Rattus norvegicus: one gene and its partners. The protein of the gene in region 3 interacts with the protein of the main gene of each other region in a biochemical or structural test. Links are inferred from orthologs where the notes say so. Each region holds a gene or a part of one and is shown on either strand. Other genes may lie near its edges.

Evidence for each region.
Region 1: the proteins of Cul4b (region 3) and Dtl form a complex in vitro, tested with the Homo sapiens proteins (2 studies listed by BioGRID). The link is inferred for Rattus norvegicus from reciprocal best matches to the Homo sapiens genes CUL4B and DTL.
Region 2: the proteins of Cul4b (region 3) and Rbx1 form a complex in vitro, tested with the Homo sapiens proteins (4 studies listed by BioGRID, with this or other methods). The link is inferred for Rattus norvegicus from reciprocal best matches to the Homo sapiens genes CUL4B and RBX1.
Region 4: the proteins of Cul4b (region 3) and Ambra1 form a complex in vitro, tested with the Homo sapiens proteins (2 studies listed by BioGRID, with this or other methods). The link is inferred for Rattus norvegicus from reciprocal best matches to the Homo sapiens genes CUL4B and AMBRA1.

The regions. Positions count from the first base shown.
Region 1 is NC_086031.1:105,683,122-105,687,102, reverse strand, and holds the start of Dtl (denticleless protein homolog), read left to right. Parts: upstream 1-1,181; 5' UTR 1,182-1,289; coding exon 1,290-1,341; intron 1,342-1,363; exon of another isoform or gene 1,364-1,624; intron 1,625-1,636; exon of another isoform or gene 1,637-1,891; intron 1,892-1,904; exon of another isoform or gene 1,905-3,981. Other genes in the region: Ints7 (integrator complex subunit 7), read right to left, coding at 739-832. UniProt on the Homo sapiens protein: Substrate-specific adapter of a DCX (DDB1-CUL4-X-box) E3 ubiquitin-protein ligase complex required for cell cycle control, DNA damage response and translesion DNA synthesis.
Region 2 is NC_086025.1:114,869,709-114,873,778, forward strand, and holds the start of Rbx1 (E3 ubiquitin-protein ligase RBX1), read left to right. Parts: upstream 1-1,270; 5' UTR 1,271-1,275; coding exon 1,276-1,353; intron 1,354-3,830; coding exon 3,831-3,909; intron 3,910-4,070. UniProt on the Homo sapiens protein: E3 ubiquitin ligase component of multiple cullin-RING-based E3 ubiquitin-protein ligase (CRLs) complexes which mediate the ubiquitination and subsequent proteasomal degradation of target proteins, including proteins involved in cell cycle progression, signal transduction, transcription and transcription-coupled nucleotide excision repair.
Region 3 is NC_086039.1:122,157,800-122,161,299, reverse strand, and holds part of Cul4b (cullin-4B), read left to right. Parts: intron 1-499; coding exon 500-672; intron 673-2,845; coding exon 2,846-2,998; intron 2,999-3,500.
Region 4 is NC_086021.1:98,155,489-98,159,425, forward strand, and holds the start of Ambra1 (activating molecule in BECN1-regulated autophagy protein 1), read left to right. Parts: upstream 1-1,137; 5' UTR 1,138-1,383; intron 1,384-1,694; exon of another isoform or gene 1,695-1,852; intron 1,853-3,937. UniProt on the Homo sapiens protein: Substrate-recognition component of a DCX (DDB1-CUL4-X-box) E3 ubiquitin-protein ligase complex involved in cell cycle control and autophagy.

The sequences.
Region 1 (3,981 bases), on a different chromosome or scaffold from region 3:
AAACAAACGTCTCACATTAACACAGGACTTCTTTACAGATAACTATCTGTCCTTGCCTAGCGACTTATCCACCCGGAGACAAAGGAGTATCTCTTCAGCATTTAATAGATGCATCTTTTTGCATATCACTGCCATTTAAATTGCCCACTTTGCAGACAAATCAGGCTAGTTGATAACGTCGCTTCCCATAATCGCTTTCGTAGAACTGGAATTCAACTCCTAACCCTAAAGTCATTTCTCTTGGCTACCTGCACAAGGGACGCTAACTCGTGGAACTTGTCTGCAGAGAATGCGCGCGTTCAGCCATGCTCTTCCTTATGGAACCATGTTCTCATCCTTATGGAACCTGTTATAGAACGCGCCATTCGAAGTCTCACAAGACAAATCGCTATAAAACGCTCAGGAAACCATATGGCTCTCTTGATGAAGGTTTCACCTGCACTGAACGTTTTAAAATATAATCTCCGACTTCAGGATTTTTAGGAATTGTCTCATTTACTGTATGGGAAATCTGAGACTGTAACCCCAAGTGGTCAAAGGCGTACTCGCTAGCGCAGTCCTCTGCTCCCGCTGTGCAAGGCCACTCCAACAGCACAGCAAGCGCCCAAACGCAGGATCCAAGACAGCGGCGCTTCCCGCCCCATACATCGGCGCATGCGCCTTCCTAGCTCCTCTAGCTGCCGCCACAAGGTGGCGCCACTCCCCCCAGATGCCTCTCCCGTTCCCCTCCTTCCGTACCTTTGTCCAGTTCCATAAGAGCGGAGTTAGCGTCCAGCTCCTGTTCGCCATAGCCGGCATCGGCCAGGAAAGACTTGGTTGAGTTTGACGCCATGATCCTTATAGTTACCGGACTCGCCTAGTCACAAAGATTGCAAACTCTTCCCCTGCACCGCCATCTTCTCCCGCCGCGGTCTCGCGGATTTTTCCCTCCGTGAGCTGTCAGGCAGTGTACGCATGCGCCCGGGCCGCCCGGCGGTTCGCCCGCGCTTCTGTGGCCCCCCCCGCGCAGGCGCTCAGGGGGTTTGTGAACCCTGGGTTCCCGCGGCTGAGCGAGAGGAAGGCGGGGCTTAGAATGGGGCCGAGCCTCCGAGGCTCCAGAACGCTGCGACGAGAGCCAATCAGAGAGCATGACGTCAGTTTGGCGCGGAGTTTGGCGGCCGGGGCTCGCAGTGGCGGGAGTTGGAGGCAAAACCGTGTCGCGCTGTGGAGGGCGCAAGCGGAGGCTCCGGCGGAACTTGGGGGCGATCTCCTCGGCGTTCTCCTCAGCTGAGTCTTCTCCTCAGGACGAAATGCTCTTCAACTCGGTGCTCCGCCAGCCGCAGCTCGGCGTCCTGAGGAACGGTGAGTAACGGTCCCAACGGCCGTGGCGGGAACCACCTCCCCCCAGGCGCTCCACCTTGGATCGCTGCCGACTCCGGGCCTCGAGTTCTCCCGCGGCAGGAGCGAATCCGGGCGAGTGAGGACCGCCGAAGAACCTCGTACTCGGGTTCCTTCTGGAAGGACACTCTTCACCGTAACCGAGCTTTTTAGTTCGGAACGGAGGCCGAAGTTAGGACGTTAACTGGCGCCCCGGGCCCCTGGCTGCTTACGTCAATATCGCGCGTTAACTAGAGTTAGCTGGCTGGTGTGTGTCGGGGATGGGGGACGCACTGGCACAGGCGATGTACGATCTTTGCAGAACCTTAGCGATCCCTGCAAGTTCGTTGTCGTGCACTAGCGCGCGTGGCCCGCAGTTGAGGAACTCAGTCAGGCAGAGAAGTCGCTTAAATCTTGCTTTTTCGGCGCCAAAGCCCCCTCCCCCATCTCTGCAGGTTCTGAAAAGTTCTAAAATACAGACTAAAAGATGCCCATAGCTACCCCCACGAGGCGACCACGGGTAATAGATGGAAAGGTATTGTTTCAAATGTGTTTTGATGCCTAGGTATTTCCAGAAACAGGATTAAATTCGTTTTTCTCTGCACGGTGGAATTCAGCCATATTCTCCTGTTAGCATATAGAAGGCCAACTCATTTCCTACAGTTCTCTTGGGCAGCTTTACAGAAACATTGGCAATGCGATTGGGTTTATGTGTGATTAAACTAAGACTTTGAAGAGTGGGCCTAATAATGTTGAGAAGAGGAAAAGCTCCTTGAGGTCCTGCTCGGATCAAAAACTTTGTATTCTTACTCCTCCTTGGATACTCTTGTAGTTAACATTCTGCTTGCTCATTTCTCTCCTAGAACTTTACAAAACTCCCCCTGTGTTAGGAATGGCCGCCCTGCACAATGCTTGTGAGTGGTCTTTGGAGTTACAGCATCTGAGTTTCAACTCCACCTTCTTTTCCTATGTGACATATTTTCTATCTATCCACTTTTCAGCCTGTCGTTCCTGTTTACAGATACTGGTTCAGTGATAGGCATTGGAATTCCTTTATTGTTACCTCCTGAAATCTGTGTGTCTCCTTTCTTTTTCCCCTCCTGGGTTGCTGTGCCCACTTGCTTGGATGATTATAGCCTTAAGTAAGGATCCACTGTGCTCACATTATTCCAGTCCCTATATTTTGGATTAGTTTCTGTAAAAGCTGTGTGTGTTGATCTTAATCTAGACAGGCACACAAGCATCTTACATTTTGAAGCCCCAAACTGAGTTGGCATTTCCCCAAAATTTGTTACCTACTTTGGGGACTGACATTATTAAACTGGTATCCCAGCTAAAAACTGAGAGTCACTCAAAGACTCCATAGTCCTCATTATGACCTTTTCAAAAAAATTCCCCTAAGCTTGCTTGAATCTATCTCCTTCGTCCCCACTGACTCTGCCTCTTTACCACAAACTGATTCTTCCATTTTCTGTATTCCTTTTCCCCAGACTGGAATCTGATACTTTACTCCCTGGATTATAATATGCCTCCAAAATGTGCTTTTAGTTTCCTTTCTCTGCTGATGTTTGTAAAATAGAATATAATTACTTACTCTTGAGAATTTTTAAATCCATATCTAAAAGTTTTTAGTGTAAGCTTTAAACATGCAAAAATATACCTTAACCTTTTACATACCCAATTATACCAACTTGGGAGTTGTGGTTTCTGCTTTTCAAAGGTGAGCAAATGCTTCAGCTGTTTTGTACGGTTGCTTTTTCTTCTGAATATTCCTACCTTATTTCTCCCCCAAATTTATCCTATTGTAATTTAAAAGTTCTTACCACTCCAGCATGCTACATCAAAAAGCATATAAAGTGCTATTTTCTTTGGTTTTAATACCCGATAAATTATAACCATAGTTAATTCATAGTGGATAATGGGTAAAAACCAAGTGACTTATGTTTTAAGCAAAAAGCAAAATTTTTATTGAAAGTGCATCTTTTAAAGAAATAGACTTAGGTATCTGGTGCGCCTTATGATCTCAAATTGTCTCATAGTTAGGACCTCACTAGTTTTATCTTTTTTAAATGTTTGTAATGGACACATAGTAGCTCACCTTTTGACAGTGCAAGGTATAAGATGGGGATGGAAGGACACCTTCCTTTTGTGAGATAGAAAGGAAGTGAAGCAGCTGATAGGAAAGGGACAGACAACAGCTTTGGAAATAATATGTGGAAGCTGTTGAATTGATATGGTGTTGATCCTCTGAAAATGCAAAGCCTTGTTGTATATTTCTTGTAAGTGTGGGCCTTTAGCTGTGTATTGAGGAAAGAATGGACTTTTCCAGATGAGTGTTGGGGTCTGGGGAATACTACAGGTTCATATTCATAAAGATCCAAAAGTGAATTATGGGGAGATGCAGAAATAATGGACTTAGTAGGCCTTGCTCAATGAGTCACTTTAAATGCTGTTTATCAGTCTGAATATTAGTTGAGGTAGAGAGGCAGAGTTAAGGAATTAGCTTAATTGTGAAAATATCCAAAGCAAATTGTATCTTCAGTTTTTACTTATGTGATTCTTCTTTGAATGGACTTAAAATCCCACATTATACACATGCATTTACATGTAGCCTTTTGTTTTCGA
Region 2 (4,070 bases), on a different chromosome or scaffold from region 3:
AAAACAAAAATTAAAAGACCAAGTAGCATGCTCAAGATAGTTGTTGAAGAATGGATAACTATGCCCTCAGTATCTTAATTAACTATGGGTTTCTAGCATCCCTTAGGGAGTCTATTGACACATAAATCAATGACGATTTTAGTGTGGGAGGTAGAACTTGGGCCAACACACACACTCCTTGCAGGCTGTAGCAAGTCTTCTTTGTGCAAGTTAAAACTGTGGTGGTGTTTCCGGATGTATTGCCCTGCTCAGCAAGGACATCAACAGCACACTGAATTGCACGCCAGTATTTCTTTCAAGTGGGCATTTCAGATAAAACGTCATTGTTGTCCTGTTGAGGGAACTAGAACACATAAGAAGTTCGAGGGTGATGTATTCTAGTCATACCTCTGCAAATTTAGGAGATAAAACAGTGGAGGGCTGGGCTAAACATGGAAGCATGACAAAAGATACAGGTTCTTAGCTCGGTGGTAATGACCGGTAAGAAAATCAGAATGCCTCACCCAAATTCAAGTTTGGCCACTACAAATGTACTAATTTAACTGTAGCACAAGTAGCAAAACTCGGATGGGAAATGGGGAGAAAGGAGGATGGCATCTCCCAGGCTCCTACGTGTTCTCCGTGTCTTTCTGGTGAGAAGGTGAAGGCAGAGCTGCAGAATGCCTGCTCTGTTTGTTCCTGGGCAGAACATTCAGGCCTCTCTCTCCCTATCAAATAATTTCCCAAACTGAAGTTGAGAACGCAGACCGTGCCCGGGCCTTGGAAAGCCGAGTCACAGGGCCCCCAAGCCGGCCACGGTCAGCAGAAGGCCGTTTTGAACGTTTTGGAGTTTCGGGTTTCCACAGACCAGCCCATGCCCTTTGCACCGCGGCCTTGGGGGCAGCGCTGTGGGTCTGGATCAGGTATAAATTCTGGGGCAGAAGGAGGAAGCAGCCGCCGCCCCAGAAGAAGGAGTCAGGCCACAGGGTTTCCCAGAAGGCGAGCAGTATTCAGACCTCAGGGACATTCCCACCAGTTGGCTCCCTTCGCTCGGCCCCGCCCGGCTCCGCCCGGCCCCGCCCGACCCCGCCTCAATCACTCCAGCCTCCTCCCCAGCTGAGAGCGACGGGGAACCTCCGCCTGCGCCTTTAAGGGGCGTGACCGCAGCCTCCGCCCCTTCTACCCGCACGCGCCAATAAGGGGAGGGGTGCGAGAGGAGGAGCCTGGCGAGAGGGCAGGCGGCGGAAAGTGAGCCGATGCGCAGGCGCAGTGGTCGCACGACAGTGTGTTTCCAAAATGGCGGCGGCGATGGATGTGGATACCCCCAGCGGCACCAACAGCGGCGCGGGCAAGAAGCGCTTTGAAGTTAAAAAGGTTGGGTCTCGCCAGCGCCTTCCTCAAGGAATCTAGGGAGGCGCGGATATGGCTGGCAGGCCCGAGGAAGAGCTAGGCGCGGGGGAAAGGGCTTCATTTCAGGGCGTTCCTGGGACCGGGTACCACTAAAGGAAGCCGGGGGGCGGGCCTAGGGTTGATCGGCATGATGGTGGCCCACTGTCTTGGCCATATTAGTTTCGCTGGGAAAGCTGTGGGTCCAATCGCAGAGCTGCTTACTGAAATACGCGAGGTTAACTTCGGTGCGGGAGCCAAGCGCTTAAGCTGTCACTGAAGTGACTGAGAGTTGGGGGAAGGACAGGGTGGGGTGGGTAGGATGGAGACTCGTGAAGAGACTGCGGCGGGTGGAGGATGGGGCTGTGCGGAGAAACCCGGGAACGTGCGATGACACCGCAGAAGAGCTCTGCCGGTGTTCTTGCTCCGCCCCTTCCTGGATCCTAGAATCTATTGACTCCGAGGGACCTGGTGTGGGCCCTCGATTGTATGGCGGCCTCCATTAGCCTTCTAAACCCACAGTCTCAAGTGTAAAGCTTGGTTCTTCCGAGACGTGTACTAGTTGTCACATAGCTTCTGCCACTCCAATGGTTCTCTAATGCCCGTGTACACTTCTAACACAAAATGGTAATTTAAAAAGTCTGGTGGGCTTTGTTTTAAAAGCAAGCCCAGAACTTGTGCCATTTAAGAAGGCGGAGTACTAATTGTTAATGACCTGGGAACACAAAAAATATGAAACGTCCTTTTGTATTCTATTCCCTTCATAGTTTTCTAGCACTTTAAGAGAAAAGTGCCCGTTCCTACCTAAGATTACATAAATCTGCTCAAAATGAAGATCTTGAAGTGGGGAAGGTGTTTTTGGTTTTTTGTTGGTTTGTTTGGGGTTTTTTTTCCTTTTTGTTTTTGTTTTTTTTTTTTTTGTATGTATTACTTTTGGAAAGAGTCGCTGAGAACACCTCCCCACCCCACTCTTTTTTTGTCATCTCATTGTGGCCACTGCTGCTCAGTTACGGCCTGCAGCCATATGGAAGAATAATAGAAATAATGTCGAATTTACTAGACTCGAATACTTGAATTTGAGAAGTCAAACCAAAGTAGTCCTTGAAAGGGGTGTCCTAGGGGTTGGGGATTTAGCTCAGTGGTAGAGCGCTTGTCTAGCAAGCGCAAGGCCCTGGGTTCGGTCCCCAGCTCCAGAAAAAAAGAAAAAAGAAAAAAAAAAAAGAAAGAAAGGGGTGTCCTGCCCAGTGTAAGTCTTGGATCAATTTACTAGAACTAGCAAAATAATAGTTTGGACATATGAACGTTGGGAACATCAGTTTCCTTGGTAAGAGGACAAGAAAATTGCACTGGATTGACTTGCTTGCAGTGCTGTGAGGTGTAAGTGATGACCTTGTTCTGTGTGCTGACACTGGGTAGGTAACTCACTATCCAGCTTATCCCACGATTATCCCCTTAGCGATTGATCCATTTATTATCGTAGTTCAGTCTGTTCACCTCTCTTCCTCCGAGTCCAAAACTGCGTGGAGAGCAAATACTTAGGCAGATTTTGAGTTCGACCACATCTGTCAGGAACAGCTCCACATTAGTTCAAGTTTGTACTTGAAGCTAAAATGGGTGTTCAAAAAATAGCTCTAATATTCCCACGTCGGTTTGGCTAGCTAAATTATTTTATGCTATAGACCAAAAAAAAAAAAATTGGCGCGGTGGGGCTTGCCTTCCTCTTTCCGCCATCTTGGCGCCTTTGGAAGCCCACTGGGAACAGGACTTCTAAAAAAAACAAGTATGTCTGGAAGGCTGTGGTGCAAGGCCATTTTTGCTGGCTACAAGCCAGGCCTCCTGAACCAAAGAGAGTACACGGCTCTTCTTAAAATTGAAGGCGTTTGGGGTTGGGGATTTAGCTCAGTGGTAGAGCGCTTGCCTAAGAAGCGCAAGGTCCTGGGTTCGGTCCCCAGCTCCGAAAAAAAAAAAAAAATTGAAGGCGTTTATGCCCGAGATGAAACTGAGTTCTACTTAGGCAAGAGGTGTGCTTATGTGTACAAAGCAAAAAACAATACAGTGACTCCTGGAGGCAAACCAAACAAAACCAGAGTGATCTGGGGAAAAGTAACTCGGGCCCATGGAAACAGTGGCGTGGTTCGTGCCAAATTCCAAAGCAACCTTCCTGCAAAGGCCATTGGACACAGAATCCGTGTGATGCTGTACCCATCCCAGATTTAAACTAATGGAGAGTAAATAAATAAAAGTAAAAAAAAAAAAAAATTAAAAGTACCCATGTTCAGGAATGAGGAAGTGTACACGTGGTCTGCTGTTACCCTCTGATGTTGTACAAATAATGCAATCCAAAAATCATTCTTTCTTTGCTAGGCCCTATGGCCAGGGAGTTGGTAACTGAAGCCGCAGCTGAAATCCTAACGAGTCTGTTATGTTACCCAGAAAATGCATTGTTTCCCCTCTTCTCCTTGCAGTGGAATGCAGTAGCCCTCTGGGCCTGGGATATTGTGGTTGATAACTGTGCCATCTGCAGGAACCACATTATGGATCTTTGTAAGTAACTCGGGGCGGGTGGGAAGGCGTTGAGGAAGAGAGAAATGGCGGTCATCCTCGTGTGCCCAATTGTCTTCTTTACCAGTGAATACAAAGCAGGGTCAGAACCCGTAGGTACTTGAGTGTTTGAAGTAGATTGCATGTTGTTATTTTTGGAGACA
Region 3 (3,500 bases):
GAAAATTCTAGTCTAGAAGCTATGAAGATAATTCTGACAAAGTTCTAAAAGAGGCTTGTAGTAGGATGTTTCCAACAGCAATGGAATTACTAGAGCTATAGTACAATGAAGGAGAATGAAGACTTAAAAGGTGAGTCTAGACTTTTCATAGGATTAGGTTAGTATTACCATCACTAGCAGTGGAGCAGAGGGTGAATGGAGAATATCAACACACTCAAGTGATAGTAAAACAGCCAAGTTGAGTGTCCTTTTAGTAACTGACTTGAGAGAAGGGAAACGTTGCATCAGAGGTTTTGGTAATTGTCTGCATGGATGATAAATAGATGCTTTTACAAGACAAGTAGAACAAAATTTTACTGGATAGCACAAAGAGCAGGAGTTGGTGACAGTGGGGAAACCAAAGCAGTTTATTAGAGAATGTCAGAGATAGAATGACATTGAATGTGGTGCTCATGCTAATAAGGTACAAATAAATAACTAATCATTATTTCTTCTTCAGAGGATGGAGAATTAAGAAGAACACTGCAGTCACTAGCCTGTGGCAAAGCTAGAGTTCTGGCTAAAAATCCAAAGGGCAAAGATATTGAAGATGGTGACAAGTTTATTTGTAATGATGATTTCAAACACAAACTATTCAGGATAAAGATCAATCAAATCCAGATGAAAGAAACGGTAAACCTTTTGCTTTCTCCTACTCCTAGTATATTGGATTAAATGTGTTTATAGTAGAAATTTACAGATTAAAGAATTTATATTATATGCTTGAGTGTTTTATCTGCATGTACATTTGTGTACCGCATCAGGGCTGGGGCCCACATGTAAGAAGGGGACATTGGATCCATTGGAGCTGAAATTAGAAATGTTTGTGAACAGCCACATGGATGTTGGGAATCGAACTCATGTTCTCTTTAGCTGCTAAGCCATCTTTCCAGCTTCAAAATTTACAGTTTATTTTCTCAATACCATTTCATGTAACATTTTCTGTGCCTATATCTGGCCTAATACATTTCAGTATTTGATAATATGTTTGTTTGTTTTGCTTGCTTGGGTTTGCATTGCTAGGGATGAGGAATGCATGACCATTTGTGTTCTTCCATTGAGTTATTTCTTTATCCCATCAATGTGATTTTGTTTTGTTTCTCTTCCTTGTTACTTTTTTTTTAAAGAAAGATTTATTTATTCTATGTAAGTGCATAATAGCTGTCTTCAGACGCACCAGAAGAGGGCATCAGATCTCCTTACAGATGACTGTGAGCCACCATGTGGTTGCTGGGAATTGCACTCAGGACCTCTGGAAGAGCAGTCAGTGCTCTTAACAGCTGAGCCACCTCTCCAGCCCCCTCCTTATTACTTTAATTTCCCTATGTGTAGTGTTCCTTGTTCATATTCAGTTCCTCACTGTCCTGGACCACCATCACTTGCTGGTCTCCTTTCTCCCAAATAGTTGTCTCGCTTTGCTTTAACATGTCCGTCTTTTGCATGAGCATGCATGTTCACACACTGCATATATAATCTTTTAGTGCATACACACTGCATATATAATCAAACCCAGAGTTTTCCTTTTTCCTTCAATACTCATGTCTACTTTAATGTCGTGTGTGTGTGTGTGTGTGTGTGTGTGTGTGTGTGTGTGTGTGTGTGTGTATTTAGATCTGGATTCCACATGTCAAACAAAATGTATTTTCCTTAAGTCTGGTTTATTTTGCTGAACAGGATCTCCATTATCATTCATTATCCTACAGATTACATCATTTTATTCTTTATGGCTATATAAATTTCTATAGTGTTAATCATTCATCTGATGATGGATATCTAGAATGGTTGTGTCTCTTTACTCTTTTTTTTTTAAAATAAGTGTCTCATATCTCAGTGATAGGAAATGGAAGTCAAAGTAAAGTACATCCTTGGAGGCTCATGGACCAGGTAGCTTAGGGTATAGGGCAAAGTTTCAAGCTGATAAAGAGCCCTGTCTCAAACAGAAATGAAAGGCACCTGAGCTCTAATGCCCAAGGTTTTCCTCTGATGTCCCCAACTACACCCATATAACAGGAATACCCCAACACACATGAAAAAATCAACAGAGTGCCAAATAGTTATATAATCTTGAAATACCTAAATCTTCATCTCTATGATCTTTTCCTTAAAATGACTTCATGGGGGACGGAGAGATGGCTCAGCAAAATTAAGAGCAGTGCCTCCTGTTCCAGAGAACCCAGGTTCCTGGTCCCCACATGACAGTTCACAACTATCTGTAACTTCAGTTCTAGAAGATCTATTATGCTCACACACACACACACACACACACACATATCTGTATATATATATGTATCTGTATATATGCATACATGCATGCATGCAAGTAAAAGACCAATGCACATGAACTTATGGAAGTAAGTTTTTGCATCAGTTGGTATAAACATTTTAAATTTTAGGGAAGGTCAGTAGACAACCTCCAGAGTTATTCCTTTGGAGCTATCTACCTTGTTTCTTGACATTGTTTCTTACTTGCCTAGAACTCACAAATTAGCTACGCTGGCAGGCTGTCCATCAGGCACTAGGAATCTTTTTACATGAGTTCACAAAGATCTAAATGTAAGAAATAGGTCCTTATGTTTGCAGGGAAAGCAACTGAACCTACCTCCTAATGCTCAAGGGTGGTATTTTTCTCTTTTCCTGTATTGCATTAATTTATTGGTACAGGGCAGTAGTGGCAACAGAAAGAAAACTATGTCAAGTTTTTTTCTCTCATTTAAATAAGTCAGGTTCTTTAGAACAATAACATTATGTCCCTAATATACAATTTGTGTTCCTAATTAAGTTGACTGTATTTGAAAACTTGTTTTAGGTTGAAGAACAAGCAAGCACTACAGAAAGAGTATTTCAAGATAGACAGTACCAAATTGATGCTGCGATCGTCCGAATTATGAAGATGAGAAAAACACTTAGCCACAACCTTCTTGTTTCAGAAGTCTACAATCAGCTAAAATTTCCAGTAAAAGTAGGTTTTTCTTTGTCTCCATACTGAACGTGTTATAGGTGAAAGGGAATATGTTTAATTTTTAGACACTAATTTTCAAATATAATTTTTCTATATTCAAAGACTTAAAGTCATTTGGAATAACACACATTCATTTCCTATATTTGTACATGTGTTTTACAAAAGAACTTTGTTTAGCAAATACCCAGTTTACAAAAGCCACTCTCTGTACTTCAACGTTTAGTGAGTAAATGTGACTGAAATTTTTGAAGTTAGTTACTATATATCTTTTGAATCTTACTTTTCTGGAGATGTCTTGGCATTTGACAGATTTGGTTATTAGACTGAGTTATACCTTATGCTTGGTTACCTATATAAATATTTGTTAAATCTGTTACAGAGGCTTCTGGCTTTATCCTAGTCTAGTGGTCAAGCATTTTCTGTGTCTGTTGAAAATGTCTAGCAGTGGTTCTGGTAAACTTGAATTGGTCACTGTATGGGCATGATCCAGTACAAATGTCCA
Region 4 (3,937 bases), on a different chromosome or scaffold from region 3:
AAAACCCCTCAGGCATGGTTACTTATAATTCCAGGACTCGGAGGCAAAAGGATGGCTGTGAGCTTGAGCTCAGTTTGGGCTACATAGTGAGTTCCAAGCAAGCCAGGCTACAGAGTGTGAGCCCCCACCTCAACCTCTCACAATCCCTCAGGCACACTCCAAATTTGGAACATGAAGACAAGCACATCAGAGTTTCAAAGTCATTCTTGGCTACATAGAGTTCAAGACCAGTGTGTGGGTTACATGAAATCCTGTCTCTAAAAACTAATTAGTTAACTAACTAGCTACTTAGCTAATTAAAAGCACATTTGTGGACTGTGGCTTTAGATCTTTGGAAGAAAAAAAAAAGAGAGAGAGAGAAGTGAGAAAAAGAAAAGAACAGGCTGGGAGGTTGTGGTGCTCACCTTTAATCCCAGCACTCCAGAGGCAGAGGCAGGCAGATCTGGGTGAGCTGGAGGCCAGCCTGGTCTACAGAACCAGTTCCAGGATAGCCAAGGGTACACAGAGAAACCTTGTCTGGCAAAACAAACTAAGTCAAATCATAAAAATTTAAAAACAAGGTACAGGAACTTTCCCCTCCCACCTTAAGCTGTTCTATGTTCTCCTGGATTGAACTGGGGCATTCATAGAGATTATTCCGTTTTCTTCAGCTCTGAGAGGAAATCAAGAATCAAAAGAAGCGAAGTCATTTGTTCAACTGGGACAAGTAGTGTAAGAAGTCTGTAAGTGTAGGGCAATCGTTGAACTATTAAGGAGAGCTTTATTCTAGTATGATTTATCTTCAATCAACGTGTTCACAAAAGACTAATTCCTTTTTCACTTAAGACAAGGTCTCATATAGTCCAGGTTGGCCTTGCTCTTAACTGAGTATGACTTTGAACTCCATATCCTCCAAATGCCTCCTCTTCCTAAATTCCTGGGATTACAACCGTGCTTGCTGTCTCCGAAATTTAGTTCTCTAAATTACTTCAACACTCGGTCACCAAGAGAAAATGGCAGAAACCCAGCCTACTCTATGCTTTAGCTTATGATCTGAATTTGTTTATTTATGCCTAGGAAGGCAGCGGGACTTGCAGCAGGAGCTGAGCAATGTTTCGGCACTCGGCTGCAGTTCCTTGAACGATTGCTTGGGCGCTCTTCCTTTGATGTCTGGGCGTTCGTGTGTTCGATGATCTTTTGCAGCGTCTTCTAGGTTGATGTCTCCAGAGCGGCGGCGGCGGTGCCAGGTCCTGGACTGAGTTATCCGGGAGACCCCGGGCTCTGGCCGCTTTCTTCCGCTGGTCGGTCGAGCGGGCCCCTCGCTTCCTTCAGCCTCTCCCCGCCTTCCGTCCGTGGCTCCGTGCGCTCGTTGGCCTTCCGGCCAAGCTCTCACTCGCCTCGCAGGTAGGCCCGGGAGGAGCCTGGGAGGCCCGGTCCGGCATCCTTCCGCCGAAGGCAGGAGGAGACCTTGGCGCCGGCCGGTGGGCGAGCGCGCGGCCCGTCGGGGCGCGCGTCGTGAAGGGGGTTGCGCCTGGGGGCGCGGCCGGAGGGCTGCCCGGAACTGAGGGAGAAGCCGGAAGGAGGGAGAGATGCTGAAGCTATTGGCCGGGTTCTGTAGAGAGGGGATGTCTGGTCCTGGACTCGTGTCGTCACCCCTAGATTGTGGGAGCTTGGCTCTCTTAGACCCAATTCTCTCTCTCCTTTCCTGCAACTCATGTTCCGGACGTCATTCCTCAGTTGCACTGGTGACCCACGCTGAGGCTAGCCTCGGAGTGCCCTTTGAGTTGGTGGAGGCTCTTGAAACTAGGCCCTCCAGCTCCTTGGAACGAAATGTCAGGTTCTATTCTTTTGGAGTAGGGAAACTGAGGCTGAGGTATGGGACCTGACTTTTCCCTATGACCCCGACAGAGCATTAAATATGCTGTTTGTTTTTGTCTTTAACAGTTGACCCTTCTCTTTCTCCCATTTTACTGGTCACTTTTAACTTAACAGTGATTTCTCATTTGACTACTTGGAACTCTTCTTTCTTAAGAAACATTTATTGTGTTACTGGAGGCTTCAGACATTAAGGGAGCAAGGAATATTTTTTGACTGGATTTGTCTTTTCGAAATTTGTATTTTAGCAAAAGTAGTAAGGATAGTTTGTTTTTGTTTTCTCATAAATAATTTTGTTTACTTCCACTTTACTTCTGATTAATACTGATTCCACTCTTCAGCTTACTCTAACTCTTTTCTGCTATGGGATTAAGTACTTAGTGCAAGATGGAAGATGGTTAAGACTTTGAACTTAGGTTCTTGGGAAGGTCTTTTCTAGGAGGTATCTAGAGGGAGTCTAAGGAGACTCTTTTGAAACTTTTTTTTTTTGTATTTGGTTAGTAGTTTAGTCATTTTATTAAGAGTTCAAAAGTCTGTGTAGAAACTATTCAAACTTAGTTAAATTGAAAATGAATCTTTTTGTGAATTTCACTGTTTCTCTTTTCTTTCTCAAGGTCTTAAGGTCAAGTGTTTTTGTTAATTCTGTTTGATCAAGTGTCATGATCCTAGTCATTCTAGGTTGGATAAGTTTCCACAGTATGTAAAATTCATAGGAGAATGACTTTAAGGTCGTAAGAAATTCTGTTTCTACACAGTTTTAAGATGCTTTATGAACTTTGGAAAGATGATAGAATTTTACATTGTTTCTCTAATTTTTTCTTTAATGTATGTGTAAGGTTAGTGAGGCTTATTATTCTTTCTCTTCTTTAGTAGTGCTGGGAATTTTGAACCCATGGCCACATACACATGCTCTGTCACAGAGATCTACCCCTGAGATTGGCAAGATTTAAATGAAGGTGATAGATTGAATGATTGGTTGATTGCCTGTTTGTGTGTGTGTCTGCACATGGGCATGCCATACATGCATGTGTTTGTCAGAGGACAATTTTCAGGAGTCTGTTCTCTCCTCCTAGTCTATAGTGAACTCAGGTTATCTGGCTTGACAGTAATCCCATTTTATTTTCTGAGCCATTTTGATGGTCCATGAAAATCAAATCTTTTGATCATAAGCAATTTCTTAGTTATAAGGACCTTGGTACTTTTTATAAGTGTGTAGATTCTTGATTGGGTAATTAGGCCAAAATTATATCTTCTTTGAAGAGAACTTTTATTATGGAAAAAATATACCAAAGCAAAGAAAGTAGAGGTAGAAGTAACATTGCCTGCTGTGACTTTATAGTTGTAAGTGTGTCTTAGTGACTCCCAATGAGTGACAGATAAGAAATGGTGATTGCTGTATATGTCATGAAGAAAAAGGTTAGAAACATTTTGAATGTTTCTGTAAGAAAGAACCAGCAGAAGTTTAAGTTGAATTGAGACAGATAAACTTGGTGGTGGGTGAGGTTATAGGAATGAGACTCTTAAGCTTCTCTACTTTTCTTTATAATTCATACAAGTTTTGCTTGATTAATTTTCGTATATTTTTTTGGTTTGTGTATGGTTGTTTTGGAGTTTTTGAGGCAGAGTGGACCTCTTGTGTTCCAGGCCAGCTTTAAATCGACTGTGCAGCTGAGGATGACCTTGAGCTCTTTGATCTTCCTGCCCCTACCTCAAGTACTGGATTACCAGTGTGAACCACTACTTGATGCTATATCTTGGGAATTACCAAAGTCAATTTGGGCCGTCTCCTGGCATTTCAGAAATGTTCACATTATGACTGAATCATTCTGTATTTTGCTAAGATGGTTCCTGTGGATAAGTAAGAGATATAAGCTTCAAATAGCTGTGGCTGTACATACTTTAAATTCCAACACCCCAGAGACCGATGTAGGAAGATTGTGAGTTCTAGGTCAGCCAGAGTTAACATCCTGAGACTGCCTCAAGAAACAAAAACAACAACAAAAATGAACACAAGACAAAAAAAAGACGAAAGCCTCTGAATGTTTTCTGGATTGTGGCTGGACCAGAGTTACTGAAATAAACT